Linked DNA regions of Danio rerio. The protein of the gene in region 3 purifies or fractionates together with the protein of the main gene of each other region. This does not show direct contact. Links are inferred from orthologs where the notes say so. Each region holds a gene or a part of one and is shown on either strand. Other genes may lie near its edges. The genes, in order: rpa2, clspn, atr and topbp1.

Region 1 (5,181 bases), on a different chromosome or scaffold from region 3:
CAACGTCGAGGCAAAGCATTTACTTGTGTAACTTTTACAAATTATCTTGTCATAATCACTGAAGCTGTTGTTTATATTAAGAGAATTCACACAAAAAACACAAGGCGCCATGTAGCACTAAAATCAAACTTCACACATGAACTAAACACTTGTATATGCACATGTGAATGCTTCTGAATGCTCAAATGCTTATGAAAAAGTCTATAATGTTTACATGCATTAATGTGAAATGCAGACTGATATCTATTGTTACTTAGCATGTACATACAAACCTTTAAATTGCACATGTCTTTAAAACAGTCATGCATGCAACCTTTTTACTTGCATTTATTAAGTATAATTGAACTTAAAGAGCAATGAAACACCTCTTCCAGTTCAAGTACAGCAGGTCTTTTCCCCCGTCTATTCCAACCATTAGTCCTGCAGGTGATTTGGAGAATTTAAAATGTGTGCGAACACAGCAGCACAGATATAGGCGATGTGTCTGAATGGTAACAAACTCAACTGATAAAAGACAAAGTCCGTCATTCTCCAATTCTCCTACAGCTCTTCTGACAAAAATGCTTGCTGCACACAAACAGGTTGCCTGTATCAGCCCTTGACAGAATAAGAGGAAAACCATGCAACAAACCGTGTGGATCATGGAAACAAACACATGCCACTCTTCATAAGCACCTAAATACTGCCGTGTGCCGTCTCACAGCTTGGCAGGTCTGACCGTATTAGTCTGTCATCGGAAAGCACATGCAGTATTAATAATTAAGAAGCAGGGTCTTCTCATAGGATAAGAAAACTCCACTACAAATAATAATGAGAAACTCACGCATCATCACTGGACAGGCAGATTGGTGCTACGTCACCGATTTCTGATCCCGCCCCAATAATGATTTTAAGCTGAAATTAGCTGACAAACGCTCAAAATGATCCAGTTTTATTCATGATTAAAGCTGATGGGTGCTAACGTTTTAAATGACGCACACACACATTGCATTTATGGAATAATCATGCACACATTTAAACCTTTCTTTAACACACATCTATAAAAGACTCAATAAAATATTACAGGAAATACTGTGATAAATCCCTTGCTCTGCTACACATCATTCGGGAAACACTTGAAAAAGAAAACAAAATTCACAATTCACTTTAACTGTATTAGTTCTGGTTTAATCTGATTGTCCTTCACGAATAGTTCTGATTCTCCTTGCAGAATAACAGGTCTTTGGTGGCGTTCAGCGTTCGAGTGCTGGAGGACATGAATGAAGTGACATCGCACATGCTGGAGGTTGTGAACGCTCATCTCCAGCAGAGCAAACCACAGAACATGGTGAGACTCCAGCACCTCCTTCTCATGCTACACTTCTGCTTTTCTTTCGCACAAAATGCAAAGAAAGTGGTTGATGGTTACAAACTCAACACAGAATTCAAGCATGTTCAAACCTTGTGTATCGTAGATTCAATTTCAAAGCATTAATTATCAACTGGTTATATTTGGGTCATGAGACAATATGCAGCATCTGTATATACAGTTAAAGACAAAGTGATTAAGGAGATGATTTACATTTTCAACATAATAGTTTTAATAACCAATGTTTTATGCAGGGGATTCCTTTCCAGCTGCAACCCTGTACTGGGAAACACCCATACATACCCATTTACACACTACAGCCAATTTAGTTTATTCAATTCACTAATGGCGCAGGTTTTTGGACTGTAGGGGAAACCGGAGCACACGGAATAAACCCACGCTAACACAGGGAGAACATGCAAACTCCATACAGTAATGCCAACATTGTGAGGCGACAGCGCTGACCACTGAGCCACCGTGCAGCCATGCTAAATACAATTGATTGTTTTTTTTTTTTGAATGATTTGCTATATTTAAATAACAAACCACCCAAGCCTTTTCCGCTCTGAGTCCTTATAAAGAATCCGTTTATTAAATGCATAATTTAAGGGGTATCCCAATTCTCTTTAGCTTGAAAGGGAACACTATGATAAAAAAAAAATATATATATATTTATTTTTATATATATATATATATATATATATATATATATATATATATATATATATATATATATTTTTTTTTTTTTTTTTTTTTTTTAACAAAAGTACAGTTCCCAAATTTTTCAGCCTGACCCCCCAAAATAACAATTTCAGTGACTCACGACCCCCGCCATCTCCGAAAGTGGTTCTAAACATACAAACAGTGCACATACACCAATAGGCCTAAATAAACACAAGCACATTGACAACATAAACAGTCTAACAACCATTTAATATTTATTATTTGTCATTTATTAATTAGTCTTTAATATCAACCTCATCTAATATGGCTGGTGGGTGCAATGTTTACTGCACAAGTCTATTATTGGTTTAACTTTGGAGACTTGGAGATCATCATCAATGTTCAGTTGTATATGATTTAAAAAGATAGATATTTAAAATTAAAATAAAAAACATTTTATTTTAATGTATAGCAGTTCATAAAGGTGGCAAAGTTTGCTATGGTACTGTAAAATCAATCTGACACTATTTCTGTGTGGTTAATATAATGGAAACATGACAGGGGTCACAATAACTGTTCTTATAATGTAATATAATGTGTTGTGTCTTTATAGGGAGGTGGTGGAGGGATGATGCCAGTGTCTCATACCAGCATGAATAGTATGGGCACCACAGGAGGCTATTCTGGTGCTAACATGATGCTAGTCAATGGCTTGAGTGCCAACCAGAACCAAGTGAGTAAACATTACAAACATATTTGTATTCACATCTTCCACCTTTATATATTATATTTGCAGTTATGGGTTGCACTTTCTGTTTAACCAAAGGTGCTCTAAGCTAGTTTTGAACAGCAGAGGGCACTCTAGGCCTGGCCCGGATTGGCTAATTGGGAGGACCAGGAGACGTTTTTTGACCATGAGGGCCGTTGTCCCTAGCTGCTTGCACTCTCAGCAGTCGCACTTTTTTCATTTATTTATTTATTTGACCATAGCCTCATTCTTTTGATTCATTATTTTGCTGCAGCTCCGCTCTTCTTATTTATTTTCTCGCAGCACCGTGAGCAGAATGCAGCCTGCAGGGTAATGATGATGTAACTATCATTCAACCCCAAACAGCGGCACTTATAGTGAAAATAAGAATTTGAATAATTAATATTAATGAATATTACACCTGCTCAATGAAAATCAGATGATTCACTACATTAATATATCCAACATAACTTGATCAGAAATCTAAAATGGGGAGAAAAAGATTAAACCATCAATAGAAAGCAATACTGTGGTTAAGAGTCTTGCAGGTCTTGAATATATATATATATATATATATATATATATATATATATATATATTTTTTTTTTTTTTCTGTCATTTTTATTGTTAAGACATATTATATTGTTAGGGTTGATAAACATTTGAAGTTTTAAAGCAGCTGTTTTCTTTAAAAAGACATGATAGTGTCATTAGAAACTGAATTGGAAATGACGTTATTTTAATATACTGTAGTCAGTCGTGAACTGAGGTGGGCAGGTCTTGGGCTTGAAACTCCAGGTCTGAAAAGGAGTCCCACTCCGGCCCTGCTCTAGGCTAGTGTTTAACAGCTTATAGTGCTCTAGGCTAGTGTTTAACAGCTGATGGTAGTCTAGGCTAGTGTTTAACAGCTTATAGTGCTCTAGGCTAGTGTTTAACAGCTGATGGTAGTCTAGGCTAGTGTTTAACAGCTTATAGTGCTCTAGGCTAGTGTTTAACAGCTGATGGTAGTCTGAGCTAGTGTTTAACAGCAGATGCCGCTCTAGGCTAGTCTTCAACAGCTAATGGTGCTCTAGGCTAGTGTTTAATAGCAGATGCCGCTCTAGACTAGTGTTCAACAGCTGATGGTGCTCTAGGCTAGTGTTTAACAGCAGATGCCGCTCTAGGCTAGTGTTTAACAGCAGATGCCGCTCTAGGCTAGTGTTCAACAGCTAATGGTGCTCTAGGCTAGTGTTTAATAGCAGATGCCGCTCTAGGCTAGTGTTCAACAGCTGATGGTGCTCTAGGCTAGTGTTTAACAGCAGATGCCGCTCTAGGCTAGTGTTTAACAGCAGATGGCGCTAGGCTAGTGTTCAACAGCTTATGGTGCTCTAGGCTAGTGTTTAACAGCAGATGGCGCTGTAGGCAAGTTTTGAACCGCAGAGGTCACTCTAGGCTAGTGTTTAACAGCAGATGGCGCTCTAGGCTAGTGTTTAACAGCAGATGGCGCTCTAGGCTAGTGTTTAACAGCAGATGCCGCTCTAGGCTAGTGTTTAACAGCAGATGGCGCTAGGCTAGTGTTCAACAGCTTATGGTGCTCTAGGCTAGTGTTTAACAGCAGATGGCGCTGTAGGCAAGTTTTGAACCGCAGAGGTCACTCTAGGCTAGTGTTTAACAGCAGATGGCGCTCTAGGCTAGTGTTTAACAGCAGATGGCGCTCTAGGCTAGTGTTTAACAGCAGATGGCGCTCTAGGCTAGTTTTTAACAGCTGATGGTGCTCTAAGCTAATTTTTAAGAGCAGACGGTGCTCTAGGCTAGTTTTTACCAGCAGACGGCGCTCTAGGCTAGTGTTTAATTGTAGACGGTGCTCTAGGTTACTTTTTAACAGCAGATGGCGCTGTAGGCTTGTTTTTAACAGCAGACAACACTAGGCTAGTGTTAAACTGCAGACGACACTAGGCTAGTGTTAAACAGCAGATGGCGCTCTAGGCTAGTGTTAAACAGCAGATCGCTCTCTAGGCTAGTTTTTAACTGCAGACGGTGCTCTAGGCTAGTGTTTAACAGCAGATGGCGCTCTAGGCTAGTGTTTAACAGCAGATCGCTCTCTAGGCTAGTTTTTAACAGCAGACGGCGCTCTAGGCTAGTGTTTAACTGCAGACTTTGCTCTAGGCTAGTGTTTAACAGCAAGTGGCGTTCTAGGCTAGTGTTTAACAACAGACGGTGCTCAAGACTAGTTTTTAACAGCACACCATAAACATTAGTCCTTGTATATAAACTGTAAACTGTTATCCCAGTACTTCTGTGTGATTTGACTGTCTGTAACTTCATAACTAGCTCAAAAGACTAAAGACTGAATCTCTCTTCATTTTTGCATTTTTCAAACACCGATGTGAATGATTAATAGAACATATGCAAATCACTATTATTTACAATTCATGTAGCGTGG
Region 2 (5,181 bases), on a different chromosome or scaffold from region 3:
ATTATATAAATTCATCCTTATTCGTTAATGCATGATGAGTTAACTTGAACTTGCAATGAACAACATTATTTCCATTACCTAACGTTAACCAACATGAACAAATACTGTAATAAATGTTTTGTTCATTGTTTGTTCAAGTACATTCACATCAACTAATACAACCTTATTCTAAATTATTTTCCACATGCGTTAAAAGCAAGACAGCCACAGCAAAAATTCATGTTAAAAATAAACGGCTAATCTCAATACCTCTTCATCCTCTGACTCGGTCATCTCTTCTTCCTCCTCTTCCTCACAGTCTTCATTATCGAGGCGATGAAGAGCAGCTCTTCTCTCTCGCTCCTCTTTCCTACGGAAGGCCATGGCTTGCTGCAAACGAGACTTCAACAGCACCAGTTTCTCACCTACAAAAGACACAGAGTAATGAACACACACTAAAACAGCTCACAATAACATCTTTAAAAAGTCCCTTTAACAATTATTATGAGTTTACAATCATCGTAACTTTATTAAATTTAACTTGATAATTTAATTTAATTTGATCCTGCTGATTTAATTGACATTATTATCATCATCATCATCATCATCAAAGTCTTGTAAGCAATTGTAAACAGAGTTTGTTAAACTTGATCTTTAAATGATGAGGGATTTTTTTTCTTTAGCATTTTAATTTCCTATAATTATATAATCTAATATTAATAATTAATTTTTCTTAGTGGGGAAAAAAAATTATTTTAAATTGTAAATACTTTGTGGAAAAAATAAATCAGGGACGCCATATCTATATCACCCGGCTCTAGTATAGTAGCCAATCCTGCTCCATCTAAAAACATGCAGAACGTTTAATACAAATGGCTTTACTGACAAACTGCACATGAAAAACAACATATTAATCTCCTACTATTTATCACCCAGCCCTAGAGGGTATTAATTATTATCTCAGTGCTGCCACCTGCTGACTTCTATTATAAGCATCTCAAAGAACAACAATTTAGGCTAAAAATATAATGCACAAAAAATAAATAAATAAAGTGACCTACACCTTGAATGGCCAGAGGTAATGATAACCTTCAAGAAAATTATTTGACAGTATTGTGATCACTGCTCTAATACAAGTCATTTTCAAATAAAACAAATACCGGAGACCAGTGGACTTTAATGTGGAGCGTGCTTTTCTTTGACAACACATATTTTTTTTAAATTACATATACCACAGAAACAACTAATCTTTTTAAAACAGTTAACATGGTAAACCTTGAAACCGGTTATCGTCCCATGCCTACCTGCGGGTGAGTAAATGCATTGACTGTACCTGGTTTGACATTGGCTGGCTCATCTTCTCCCTCCTTGACAGTGATTGTGATGGATTCAGAGTGCAGCTCCTCCTGTCCTGATGAACTGCTGTCTTTCCTCACCACATTAAGCTGTAATGTGCGCTCGCGTTTAGGACGAGGTGCGGGCTGGAAGTGCTTCATGAAGCGCTCCTGTAGTGCTTTCAGAGCTGAAACAGACACACAATCAACCATCATAAATTGTTGAAAAGTGCAAAAGAAAATTAAAACATTAAAAATTTTCATTTGAAGCCAATTTCCCTGACATTCAATGACAAAAAGCTGAATTTCCATGGCATTTCCATTCAATTTTTTAATGAAAGAAAAGACTAGACACTGATGTGCTTTGCATAAAACTAAAATAGTTTGAATATAAATTTTCATGATTTAATAGCCATTATAAGAGCAATAATGGATAATTTAGCTCAGATTTTAAAGAAATTTAAAAAGTCTAACAGCCAGTCCTAGCTAGGCATGAGCCAGTATGAGATTCTGACGGTATGATAACCTTGGGAAAAATATCACTGTTTTACTGTATTGTGGTTACTGCTCTGATATTGGTTCTTTTTAAATGTTTGGGTTAAAAACTAAAAAAATTTCACTTTTGAACACATTATATTTCATTTTGAGAAACATTTAAATATTTTGGAAGAGTAAACATGTCAGGCTAAATTAATTATTGACTTCTGCTGTTGTAATTTGTTTCAAAAACAGATTTTTTGCAATTTAAAATGGCATCTTTAGATATATTTTCTGCTGGAGATAATGTTGACATTTCACCCACAGTGGCAATTCAAAGTGCTTTACATGGAAAGGAATAAAAGAGACAAGTGTAATAAAAATAAATAATATAAGAACAGATTAAAATGTGTTAAAACAGGTTATAAATCAATGAAAAAGAAAAGAAAGACATATAGTGCGACCTGTCGGTGTTCATTCAGCAAAGGCACAGCTAAACAGACGTGTGTTCAGTCTTGATGTGAATGTGCCTAATGTTGGAGCACATCTGATCATTTCTGGAAGCTGATTCCAGCAGCGGGGGGCGCTATTAGTAGCTGAAGGCTAATTCACCCTGCTGTGACTGAACTCTTGGAAAAAAACATTAGTAATTTAAAAAAAAAAAAAAAAAATTTGTAGCACAGTTAGCGGTGGAGTCAGAGAGGCAATTGCAGATTAGGAAGGAAAGTGGAGACTAAACAGTTGAGTTTTTAGTGGTTTCTTGAAGACAGCGAGTGACTCTGCCGTTCTGATGCAGTTAGGGAGTTCATTCCACCAACTGGGCAGATTGAATGCGAGAGTTCGGGAAAGTGATTTCTTCCCTCTTTGGGATGGAACCACGAGGCGACGTTCATTCACAGAACGCAAGTTTCTAAAGGGCACATAGATTCTAGAGACCAGATAAGAAGGAGCAAAGCCAGAAGTTGCTTTTTAAGCAAACATCAGAGCTTTGAATTTGAAGCAGGCAGCAACTGGCAGCCAGTGCAAACGGATGAGCAGCGGAGTGACATGTGCTCTTTTAGGTTCATTAAAGACCACTCGTGCTGCTGCGTTCTGGAGCAGTTGAAGAGGTTTGATAGAGTTATTTTGGGTTTATTTATTTTTCCAAATCTTTTCCAGGCCTGGAAAATGCCTTGCCAAAATTCCATGACTTTTCCAGGACCGTATGAACCCTGTTATTATCTTATTCTACTTTTTGTGTACGGTCATAAACAGTTGTTTTTAGAGTTCTAAATCAATCACAAAAACGAGCGCTCTTCCATATTGCAGAACAACAGATAATGATATTCCCTATGTAAAATCGTACCTTGGTTTTCCTGAGGCGCCTCCAACTGGACAAAAGCCCCTTCATCTGCAGACAACTTCACCACAGGAGGAGGATCCAGACCAAGCTCCCTCAATCTGGCCAGTTTATCCTTCCGAGGTTTGAGCACCTGAGGTTCAGTCTGGGCTGCATCCACCGAGACCTGCTGCTCTTCTTGCTCTGGATGTCCCTCAGTTGTTTTCTCCTCAATGGGACTGTTCTTCTCTTCATCCTCAGGATTGGGTTTGTCAGTGATTATTTCACCATGTACCTGAGCTTCTCCATCATTAGCAGGACCATCTTGGTGTGTGCTGGAGGCTGGGTCTGGTGTGATGGAGGTCTGGTTCTCCAGAGATGATTCTGGTGGAGGGTTTGTGTCCTGCTGGGGTGCTGTGGTTTGATCTGGAGGAGTAGTGGATTCTAAAATACAAGCCTGGTACTTGGCAGACCTTGAGGACAGGTGAAAAAGTAAACAATACATTTCTTCATATGAATGCATAAGGGGGGGGATTCATTGGTAATAGAGATGATATTTCAATGCCATACTTGAGCAAAGCCATCCCACGACCTTCTGGACGTGGTCTTCTCTTGAAGAACTGATCAATACTTTTGGGTTCAGACATGTGATACGGCAGATTGAGCAAGGACTCTGCAAATGTTTAAGAGAGAGACCATCATGAAGGAGAATCAGAATGAAAGCGCTATATTGCCAAGTGTGTTAGGAACACACAAGTACTTTGTCAGTGATAGGAGCTTCCAGTAGAGGCAGTACAAAAAGTTCAAACACAGTGGAAACTTAAATAAAAGCACATTAAAGGGTCACGAAACACCAAAACACATTTTTTGAGCTGTTGACAGTCGTATGTGTCCCACACTGCTAAAAACACTATTAGGACACCTATATTTCACTAAAAAGTGTAAATTGGTTGTTTTTGCGTTATTTCAAGCAAATTCGTACTTCCTGTTAGAAACGAATTTTTGAAGCTGCGTCACGGTCATGAGATAATAGCGTGTATTCCAGCGTGCAGACTGGACGTCTGTGCCAGAGTGTGTCTTATTACATCTTACAGTGTGATGCATTAATGCATGAGTAAAGCTTGGTTCAAACCAATCAGCGCGCTCTATTGTGCAACTTCATTAATATTCATTACTGTGTTTACACGACATAGACGCCACGTTGTGTTGGCAAAACAAGCGTGAAGTGTTGCTTTTATAGTTTGCTGCTGTTAAGTTTCGTTTTCTTTTTCTCTCTGTGAGAGCGCAGCTGGACTCACGTGTGGATTAACAGTGTACGCGACGCTCGACAACAATAGCTTACGTCTCTAAGGAGGATTATTGTTTACCTGAGAGCTGTTCTCATCTGCAAACGCTGAGATCGGATTCGCTTGTAGTATTCTCTTCATAAAGACGCGGCTCTAGATGCTGTGGATTGTTCTGTCTCTACAGATTTGGTAAGTGAGCGACCAGTGCTCTTTGTTTTTTCAGTTTGTTCGTATCAAACTAAGTTAATTATTGCACCGTAACATGTTAGGACCACAACCAAACTTTAACCTCGTGTAGGGTTTTTAACCGCATTTAGTGACCGGAATAACACACGCGGCTTTCTGACGCTACCTGCCGTGTGCATCTAAGTTTCCGGGAAATGCTGAGGTTTTTTTTTCTCTCATTCGCCGTGCGGTATCAAACATTGCATGAAAAATACACGCTTAGAGCAGATCCTCGAATCAAATATCTCGTTTGTTGTGAGGGACATGAATGAATTCCCTGAATGAAAGAGCCAAACTGCAGTTAAAGTCCACCATTTAATCATTTGGCAAATAATTCGACTACAGATGTCCATGTAGGTTAAACACCATCACTTTCTCCTGTGTGTGAGTATTTTGACTGAAACTCGCGCGTGCCCAAATAGACACTCCCACACCCTCCCACTTTTCTTCCTCCGACACTCCCCCCTAAACAGAGCTGGACACGCCCACTTTTCTGACTTTTTCCAAAGTAGAGGTGTAAAAAATACCCTGCTGAAACGAGGGGGTTTCATGGCCCTTTAAT
Region 3 (5,181 bases):
ACATTATACAAAAGCAAATTGTCATGAATAAACAAAAATGCCCCCCGAGATGAAGAAGGCATGGAGGCAGTGGTTTTTATATTAATGTTGGCTAGAAAAACATTTTTTTTGTAATTTAATCTAGTAATTTAATCCTTTCCTTTTTTTTCCATTTGTGAAGGTATTTGCGTTTTGCTGTAGCCTACATCCTGTGTGTATTAAGCAATGTTTAAGCGAGGCACATAACTCACGCGCTCTGCGCTGGGCTTTAGACCTCCTCATAGCTGGTCTATTGAACAGTGTATTTTAGTTCCCTAAATAGCAACGCTCCAGCAATGCTCCTTAACACACCCCCGTTTTTAGACTAGACCGCCTAGGGGCGCACATATGAGCGCAAATGCATTTGCTGTATAAACAGCCGGGTCTTTAACGTCAAAATGACTCTTGCGCCTATAGCTGAAACCAGCATACAACAGTTGCGTAGCGCCTTGCGCTGCATTGTGCCGGGTGTATGATAGGACCCTTAGTTTTTAGATTTTTTTTTTTAAGTTATGTTGAACAAAAATATATGTGTACAACTAAGGTCTGCTTGTTTTGACTCATTATTTAAAATATGTGGCTAAGAAATGACTACTTAGATTTTTTTTTTCTGCTGGGCCATTTAAAAAAAATCTTTAGTGTCTAGCTTTATTTAAGTCTGAAATGTTTTTCGTTGGGGTCTTAAAAAGACCTTAAAAAGTCTTTAATTTGACTTGGTGAAACTTGCTGAAACCATGCAATTTACAAATCTTACATTTCAATCCTGTACAAGAACAATGACAAATAATGCTAATTTCATTTCAGAAACCGCATTTAAATTTAATTTAAAATACTAGAGTGGAATTCAACACATTTTTAATAAGTTCTTTGAACATGACTGTTTAAAATTATCATTACTCTCATTTTTACTGTAAATGTTAAGTGTGGGTGAAATGTTACGTACAATAAGGACTTATATGGTGATATACATGCTGGGGATGTAAATAGTGCTTGATTTAAAATGTAAGAAGTCTTTGAAAATCTTTGAATCTGCTGTTCATGAATAATTGGGTACCTTGTATAAGGAAAGATGCTATTATTTTATAGGGTGATGTGCATCAAGCTCTGATAGTCCTGCAGAAAGGAGTGCAGCAGTGTTTTCCTGATGACCAGACGCTCACAGACCCCAAGAGAATCCAGGTCAAGGGAAACGCCATGCTGCTGGTGGGCAGATATATGGAGGAGACAGCCAACTTCGAGAGCAATGCGATTATGAAAACCTATAAGGTATTTCAGTTAGTCACAAATGAAGTCAAATGTCAGTACTGGAGTCAGATTCATCAGAAAGTGACTTCTGTTCTTTTTAATGCAGGATGTTACGACTCTGTTGCCAGAATGGGAGGATGGAAACTTCTACCTGGCCAAATACTATGACAAGGTGATGCCCATGGTCACTGACAACAAACTGGAAAGACAAGGCAACCTCATCCGTTATATTGTCACTTATTTTGGAAAGTAAGATGTTTTCTTTTGATAATGTTTATATTGTGATTTTTATTTAGCAATTCTGCAAAAGTTTACAAAACAAATCAAATTTTGTGTGTGCTTTTATTTTAGTTTTATTAATTTAATAAAGTTGTGTACATGTGAAATATTTCTATGGCAAGTAACTGAGTAACTTTTTTTAAAGTAAAAAAAAATTATTTAACCCTCCTTTTGACCTAAATCTTTATTTTTGTTTTTTAATGATTTCTGTACACATTTAGGGTATAATGGGTGTCATTTAGTCCATTTTTTACCCGCCAGCTACAGTATAAAACTATTTTTTTTACCATGAAAACCACTAGCTCACACGGGCACACACACCCCCAAACACAAACAATAAGAATCTACTGCTTTAACCTTTATTAATATTCTCTTGCTTTAATGTTTAACATTCATGCATGTACTTTTAGCAATTGATAAACATGCCACTTCACATAAGTCAAAAACACGTGGTGACCTCTAATTAAACATTCATGAAAAACTCATGCACAGAGTTCGTTTCATCATGCGAAATAGATTTGAGGAATAAAATTAAATTTTGATTCTTTATTTTAGAGGTTTCATAAAGATGAGTCAACAGAAGGAAGGTTGAACAGTGTATACATCATTTCATACAACAGGAGGATTAAGTTTTATGGTTTTAGTTTTAGTCTATTTGAATGAATTGTGTGAAAGTTAGATTTAGAGATGCTTGTTTTGCTTGTTTCACAGAGCTTTGCAGTTTGGCAATCAGTACATCTATCAAGCCATGCCGAGAATGCTTACGTTATGGCTGGACTTTGGTGCCAAGGTTTATGAATTTGAAAAAGGTAAGGCACAAAAATGGTTGATGTAGTGTATGGAAAAATTAAACAATTAAAATATTTATTTGCATACCTCCATCAGTGGTTTGTGTTGAACAGTCAATTTGAAATGATAAACATTGTAGAGAGTGTAAAATTGCAATTTGTCAAAATAGTATACTCATTATATTAAATGGACAATATGTATTATAAAAAATAGATATAGTTTCATTAAAATATTCAAAAACAGTAGAACACTGTTATATATTTTTCTGACGTATTTATATTAGCCCAAATGTTTTCAAGAAAGGTTTTTAATTTTTACTTGGGCAATTATATTAGGCAAGCAATATAAGCAATACCCATGTTACTTATTAATCCATTATAAATGCATTTTTATTTATTTATAAATCTGTTAAGGTTTTTTCTTAGACATTCATTATAAAACAATTAATTGGTTTTAAAAATACACCTGCAAAGGTATCAAATTTTATGCAATTTGTAATGTCCAAATTTTATTGTTGAGAGGAAAACTGCACACAGCAATACTGGATTTCCATTAGTAAATGAAGCCTTTACGATCATTAAAACGCTAAAGCAAGTCCTTTAAAATTAAATGTTCATTACGGAATGATAAATAAAACAACAATTATAGAACAATATATACACAATATTATTGTGGCATTCACTGTAACCAACATTATATCTATTAACTATAGGCAAGCCTAACAGAATTTATTCTTTCCAAAGCTACTAGAAACAATGTTACTGAAACTAGCAGTGTGTGGAAAATACACTTAAAGAGATGAAAAATTTCTCTTAATTTACTTATCCTTTTCCAGAGATGGGTTGTGGCTGAAATGGCATCCGCTGTGTAAAAACGTGCTGGATAAGTTGGTGGTTCATTCCGCTGTGGCGACCCCAGAATTATAATGGGACTAAGCCAAAAAGAAAATGAATGAATGAATTTACTCATCCTTACTACAAACTCATTTAAGTTTCTTTTTTTCCCCCTTTTGAGCACAACATATTCTGAAGAATGTTGAAAAACTCTTCAGTATATTTTGTTTTGTCTTCAAATTATATATTTTTCTTTTTTTGTTTTATTGGAAATAGAAACTCCAAAGACTTTAATATATTGTGTTTCATTAGACTGCACTGAGCTGCCTTATAACACAACCTAAAATGTATTTAATATGATAAAACATCTCTTCTTCTTTTCTATGTGATCATGACCAAAAAAACCAAAGTGCTCAACCGTGGCATAATAAAAGTGGATTGCATTCGTCTCTCATCAGCAATGGGGTATATGGACACAGACTTTTAATTTCAGTCAGTCAGCCCCAGGGCTTTCGGTTAATTCTCATCCCATGCAAAATTGCTGGGATCTGATTTCTTAAAAAAACAGTGATCTTCACTGCCTGGCTGACATATACGATATAAAGTGGGTATCAGAGTAAACCCAGAGTAAAAAAAGAAGCACTGCATTAAATTAGATTTTTCCATGCCATGTCTTTAAAATATAGAAATTAATTTTACCCTAATATTTTGAATGGATTTTCTGCACTGGCCTGAAAAACACTAGCTGTGCATATATATCACATTGCTTCAGCGAGCTTGTTTCGCTTTGACAGCTTTCAGCCTTTAGCACATCCACAAACATGATTTTCGCAGGAGTCGCACAGAATGTAATCTTGAATATCAATTCATACGGAATCTTTCCAAATGTGCAATGATTTTTAAAAATAAATTCTAGTGATTTAAAAGGATTTTTTTGTCAGTCTTAAGACTCACTGCTCTAGTAATCTTCGATACAGCAGTTTCTTCCCACTTTTTGTCTTTAAGCTGGCCGCTCTGACCGAGTCCAGATGCGTACTGAGCTTACGAAGATCAATTCCGTGATCAGCGACCACACTAGCAACCTCTCGCCCTACCAGTTCCTCACAGCCTTTTCCCAGCTCATCTCCAGAATCTGCCACTCCAGCAACGAGGTCTTTGCTGTTCTCATGGAGATTGTGGCCAAAGTATTCTTAGCTTACCCGCAACAGGCCATGTGGATGATGACTGCTGTGTCAAAGGTCAGAAATCTTCATTTATTACAATATCTAATGCATACAGGTATAAATAATGTTTCGTTTATGCTTCTTTTTTAGTCCTCCTATCCGACTCGAATGAACAGATGTAAGGAGATCCTGAAGAAGGCCATCAGTCTGAATGACTCATTTATGAAGTTTATCGGAGATGCCAACAGACTGACTGACAAGCTGTTGGAGCTCGGAAATAAACCAGTAAGACAGACTTTACCACTAGAGAGAAAGTGATTTCGAAAGAAACAGCTTTTGTGGATTTATTAATCTTTTATATTCAGCTTCCCCCTCAGGCATTCATTACAAAATTAATTAGCTCTAAAATTAGCTTTGAATATGCACTGTATTTTCTGGAAAGCATCTCACACCACGTCTGAACTAAAACACAGATTAGATAAACGTTTGAATAGGTTACATATGACTTTTTTTTTATTAAAAATAAACATTAAACAGGCAAGATCATAAAGACATTTATTCAAATACTTTTTATTGATTTTCATTATAAAACAATACACACAACCATATATGTAATGTGAAGAGGCTGCTGACAAGGGAGGTGTGAATCCAAACACAGGTTTATTAAACAGAATGGTCAGGCAAGCAATGGTCATTACAGGAACAAACAGATGTATTCGGGCAATCCAGAGTCGTAGTCAAATATTAGGGGAATGGTCAGTATAGGCAGGTAGCAGGCAGCATAAACAAATAAAAAAGACGATGGTCAAAAATATGGCAAGGCAAGGAAAACGCGTTAACAAGTTCACAATTCA
Region 4 (5,181 bases), on a different chromosome or scaffold from region 3:
ATTATAAAGTTTTACTGTATTAGTTAATATGATTAAAAAATGTATTTATTTGTAAATACTGAACATTAAATGAATTAGAAAATTATGCATGGAAACTTTATGAACTATAGCTTGGTATACTTATTTTCAGTCCACGGTTCTCAATGATATTTGGATTTTGGCCCTTCATATGAAAAAGTTTGGGCACCCCTGGTGTAGAGCTTCCTGATTTTTCTAGCCTCTCTTACAAAAAGTACATAAAAAATATTGATTGCAACAATTGCCTAATTAGTATACAAATTTATTTTTCTATACTTCAAAATTAACTTTAGGTGCTTAACACCTTTTTACTGGACATTTTCTTTCAAGAAAAATGTCCAAAATTTTGACTAAAAGTTACTTGTAAAATGTTTTCACTATTTTTAACAACAACACAGTCAGTCAGTAGTGAAAGATGACTTCACTCATGTCAAATTCTTCTCTGTCTTAAAGGGCACATATTTTAGCCCTTTTTTGAGATTTAATACTAATATTATGGTTCTTCTGAGTGTGCCAATGTAGGTTCAGATCAAAACGCAATTCAGATATGGTTATTATGCTGTGTTAAAAAGTGTAAATTTAGAGGCGTGTACACGGGTTGCTGTTTTGGGGTGTGTTGTTTAAAGCCTTTATCGATGAGTTATTTTCACAAATTATGATGGCATAGCCGTTAAAATAGGACAAATAAGCTCATGTATGGGACAAATTCTGGACATTTGTCAGTGAGGGGTGGGTCTTCTGAACCACACGAACCCCCCCACTGGCTATGGGCCTGTAATCAAACTGTTTTTCCTATTTTCTTTTAAAATCAGGCCAGATCCTGAAAGACTTCAGTATTCTTGGACCATGCTTCACATTCTGAATTATATATATATTTTTTATTGACAAAACAGAATTCATGTACAATGTAATTGAATAAAATGACTTAAATATTTAATTTGAGCTTGAAATAGGATGATTTCATCTCATACGGCTTTTCTTCAGTGTGGACATGTCCCCAGAGGCTTTCCGTTTGCGTGAAGATGCATCTACAACCTTCTCTGTCTCATCGGCAGCTGCTCCAGGAAGATAGTAAGCGTCCATTGAAGGAGACGGTTCCTGGAAAAAGAAAATATTCAAACGCATTTAATGAACATAGCTAATAATTCTAAAAAAAAAAAAAAAAAAAAAAAACTATTCAGAGCAATGGAACAAGGAATCGCTGTGATGGGATTTCCACATGACTGCCTCTAGTACATTAATATCCGGTGCTGGACTGCACAATTAACCAACATAAAACCAAACTCACTTATTGCTTAGTAATTATGCAATTATAAAAGAACTATAAATACCATCAGGCAGATTACTTTTCCTAAACTTTTTAATAGTATTTTTTTTTTTAATTAGCATTTAAATATTACAATAGAAATGAATAAAGGCTGAATTTAATTAGGCCTGTTGGTTTAACACATTTACTTAAATATTTCACAGTTATTTGGTGACTATCATGATGCAGAAGAGCAACTCAGTGCATGGTGGAGCCTTGATACAGTTATAGGTATTGAAGATGCGAGATATTGCAAATCCACATTTGCACGAATATTGACAAACGATCATAAACTAAAATTAAAATTTTTAGTGACGAGCCAGCACTGGCAATTTGGAAATTATGACAAAAGTGGCTAGTGGGAGTGTCTGTCTAACTCGCCACAGCTGAAATCTACCTGCATTTGGCGGGGGTTAATGCCAAGCCCTGATTATACAGCAGTTTCCTTTTTCTATAAGTCATTCATTAAAATTATTTAAATGAATAAATGATGAAAAATCATTCACAGCCACTTAGTTGCAATTTCTATTTCAGACAAAACAATAAATTTATACATAATGCCTATTCAGGGTTCTTGCACTATTTTAAAAGTAAAATCTAATGCTTTTTAAGACCTCAACAAATATGGTTTGAGACCAAAAAATTTCATAATTTCTTTGGAATAGGCTGCTTAATTTAATGTCCTCATTAGATTTAAATGAATTGTGCCTCGTCACAGTATGGATATAACCCACAGTGCCTGCCTTTTGGATGTCTGGTGGTGAAATAAAACTGTTATAGCTGTCTGTGAGGTGGCGTCTAAACTAAAGCTGTAATCGGGCCATTAAAGTTAGACCCGATAGGGCCCAAATCCCGACAAGTACATATTGACTGACAGCTTTTAAAAAGCCCAAACACGTTTAGAGCCAACATTATTCAAATGTGCACATGCACACAGCTCTTTTGCCTTTTTTCATAAGTGAGTCCTTTATATGTGTTAGCATTACTTATTTATAACATAGGCTATAGGCCACTTGGAAGTTGGAACAAAAAAAAAAAAAAAAATAAGCCCTCTGTAACATCGTAACATCTTAGCACTCTAATAAGCCTGGGTACATACACTAAGCCTTTTAATTGGCCAACACACCAATAAAAATTAGTCTTTCTTAACAAATTAAATTAAATGATAAATGATAATTGAGAATCATGAAATTAAGATGAAGGCTCTGTGTGAATTGTTTTGTCACTTCTCTTCACAATCTGCAATAAGGCGACAGTGAAGCTGAATAATAAAAGATTAAGGCCAACATTAGCCAATATACTCTGTCTACATTATGATTTTATGATTTAATTTAAATATTTGGTTATAATTTGAAAATCCTTTACTCATCAAGATTAGGCGATGTGTTTTTTGGCGGAACATTGTTGAATTCACTGTACATGGCTTTAGCGCAGTCCTGCACTCACTGAGCAGCACTAAACACCCTTTCACTGCTGCTGCTACTGGCCGGGATGCACTACTGATCTGGCTAATTTAGCATGTTTTGGGTAGGTATGTTTGTTCATCTTCCACCAGTCAAGAACATTCATTTAATTTTCATGACAGCGGTTTCAGTGTAGCAAGTGACCCCGTCATTTTTCCTTTCAGCTCGCTGTACATTGCTGTTTAGTGCTCTACCCTAATACGCAGTGTATGAGCGACTGCCGAAATACCTTAGTGGCTAGAATGACTGCTCTTATTAAACTAGCAGCAGTCAAAATTCACTCTTTTTGACTTTTCCTTTTTTTTCCCATCATTTGTTTCACCTTTGTAGGGATGTAAACAACAATTTGATTACTTTCTTGCGCAAATCGAAATCCATCACATGACCGTTTATTTACTGCTCAGGCCCAAGCCCAGCCCGACCCCGTCTAAAATGATAGAAATTAAGTACGAACCCATCGGGTTCGACACCCGCGTTATGACAGCATGCAGATGTAGACCGACGTAAGCATCTGTAGCCGACCTACCGTAACAAGCTAATAAATCACGGAGACGGTCATTTCTCTCCTGTTTCACACATATTAATCAACTATTAGATGTTTCACGGTGGACCACTGTGCTTCCCTATCGTCACTGAGCACACCAGCTGGAAATGTAATACTTACAGCCACTTTACGGTAAATCTAAGACAATTTAATAACTTAATTTCCCGTATTTTAATTTAAGACATTTTAAGACTTTTTAAGGATCCTTGGGAAACCTGCTATTGAAAATTAATAAAAGAGACATTAAAATAAATTTTATTCGATGCAATTCATTTGTGATTAACAAATTGCGTTTTTTTTTTCTTGATTGCATAGAAATATGAATTTATTTTTGTGCAGCCTTAAAAACAAGCACAAAATCATTATTGATAATAACACTTTTTTTTATCAAAGTGAAAGAACAAGTAAAAATGTTGTGTTTGTCTGGTTTGAATCACAAATAGCACCTCTTACCTGCATGAGATAATCAGCAATGTACTCTGGTTTAAGACATTTGACCCCGTGAGCTGAAGCCTCACTGATGTCCACTCTAACATCACCTGGTTTTAACCGACTGAAATCCACAAACAGGTGAGTGGTCTCTTTAAACAGTGAGGGAGAAGGATCTGGCAGCACCTGTGTAGCAGGAAAGGGTGAAATACAAGAAAAATAAACAACAAAGTAAGGAATGAGCAACAACAGCCTGCAAAGTCACATTGTTTACTTGTCCTTCAAACTTGATGAGTTTTGAAAAATACAATATAACCATTCACATCCATTAACAAATGCTATGAATGTATTTGAAATATCTTCTTTTGTATTTAACAGAAAAGGGAAACTAAAAATAGCATGGAATGACTTGAGGAGGTAAATGGTGAATAAATTTAGATTTTTGAGTGAACTGTGGTTTTAAGTTAAGAAATCCCTGAGTAATAAGGTTAAGGGTAATCTCAGGAAAACTTGAATGGCAAGAAAGAAGACATAAGGGTCAACAAAACCAGTGTTTCTCAACCATGTTCATGAAGGATCACCAGCACTGCATGTTTTGGATGTCTTCTTTGTCTGTCACACACATTTCTGGTCTTTCAGTCTCTGCTAATGAGCTGATCTGAATCAGGTGTCTTTGGTTAAGGAGACATGAAATATGTGCAGAGCTGATGCTCGTCCAGGAACATGGTTCAGAAACACTGAACTAAATGAATGTATGGGTGCCGTTAGTTATTCTACCTTAATTATCTAAGTTGTCCCTTAAGCAACCATTTCTTAATAAATGTAAAGACCAGGACACAGCAAGCCTATGCCAAAGAACTAGCATTGATGAAAATCAAATATGTTGTGGTTTCGTGTCGACCACGGCTGGTCCCATCTGGACTAAAATGCTGTGTGTGAACACAACAAAGGGATGGCTGCAGGCTGAAACCAGAGCACATCTTGTATCTTTCTGTTAACGCAGATTGCAGTAATATTCTTTCTCAATCCAAAAAAGTAAAACCAGAACATGAGATGCACAAAGCGTGAACAAAGCAGCATTTATTGCCATTATCACAGTAATCCTCACTCACCACAGAGGGATTTGCTTGTGCCAATATGTCTGATAATCTAATAATCCATAAATGTAGTATTATTTGAGTAATATTATTGACTAAAGTGAAAACGTTCAGATGATTTATGTACAAAAAAAAATCCAAGTAATATTGTTTGTATTTTAGCGGATGTTACATGAGAGAGTTTACCAAACAAGTAAAATTTGAGAATTCATTTTATTTTTTATGTATGTTATGCTTTTAGTTCCTGGACTTGTACACAAAATCTGCATAAATCCACAGATTTTATTTCTTGTTTCTATGCATAACTAGTGAATAAATTCAGAT

What was found.
Region 1: the proteins of atr (region 3) and rpa2 purify together in Homo sapiens (affinity purification with western blotting; 3 studies listed by BioGRID, with this or other methods). This does not show direct contact. The link is inferred for Danio rerio from reciprocal best matches to the Homo sapiens genes ATR and RPA2.
Region 2: the proteins of atr (region 3) and clspn purify together in Homo sapiens (affinity purification with western blotting; 3 studies listed by BioGRID). This does not show direct contact. The link is inferred for Danio rerio from reciprocal best matches to the Homo sapiens genes ATR and CLSPN.
Region 4: the proteins of atr (region 3) and topbp1 purify together in Homo sapiens (affinity purification with western blotting; 8 studies listed by BioGRID). This does not show direct contact. The link is inferred for Danio rerio from reciprocal best matches to the Homo sapiens genes ATR and TOPBP1.

The regions. Positions count from the first base shown.
Region 1 is NC_133191.1:4,959,417-4,964,597, reverse strand, and holds part of rpa2 (replication protein A 32 kDa subunit), read left to right. Parts: intron 1-1,210; coding exon 1,211-1,327; intron 1,328-2,624; coding exon 2,625-2,744; intron 2,745-5,181. UniProt on the Homo sapiens protein: As part of the heterotrimeric replication protein A complex (RPA/RP-A), binds and stabilizes single-stranded DNA intermediates that form during DNA replication or upon DNA stress.
Region 2 is NC_133194.1:50,559,480-50,564,660, forward strand, and holds part of clspn (claspin), read right to left. Parts: intron 3,782-5,181; coding exon 3,679-3,781; intron 3,582-3,678; coding exon 3,136-3,581; intron 1,502-3,135; coding exon 1,313-1,501; intron 405-1,312; coding exon 250-404; intron 1-249.
Region 3 is NC_133177.1:18,765,250-18,770,430, reverse strand, and holds part of atr (serine/threonine-protein kinase ATR), read left to right. Parts: intron 1-1,104; coding exon 1,105-1,284; intron 1,285-1,369; coding exon 1,370-1,512; intron 1,513-2,097; exon of another isoform or gene 2,098-2,253; coding exon 2,254-2,351; intron 2,352-4,169; coding exon 4,170-4,402; intron 4,403-4,477; coding exon 4,478-4,612; intron 4,613-5,181. UniProt on the Homo sapiens protein: Serine/threonine protein kinase which activates checkpoint signaling upon genotoxic stresses such as ionizing radiation (IR), ultraviolet light (UV), or DNA replication stalling, thereby acting as a DNA damage sensor.
Region 4 is NC_133199.1:10,084,867-10,090,047, reverse strand, and holds the end of topbp1 (DNA topoisomerase 2-binding protein 1), read right to left. Parts: intron 3,947-5,181; coding exon 3,785-3,946; intron 1,117-3,784; coding exon 979-1,116; 3' UTR 869-978; downstream 1-868. UniProt on the Homo sapiens protein: Scaffold protein that acts as a key protein-protein adapter in DNA replication and DNA repair. Composed of multiple BRCT domains, which specifically recognize and bind phosphorylated proteins, bringing proteins together into functional combinations.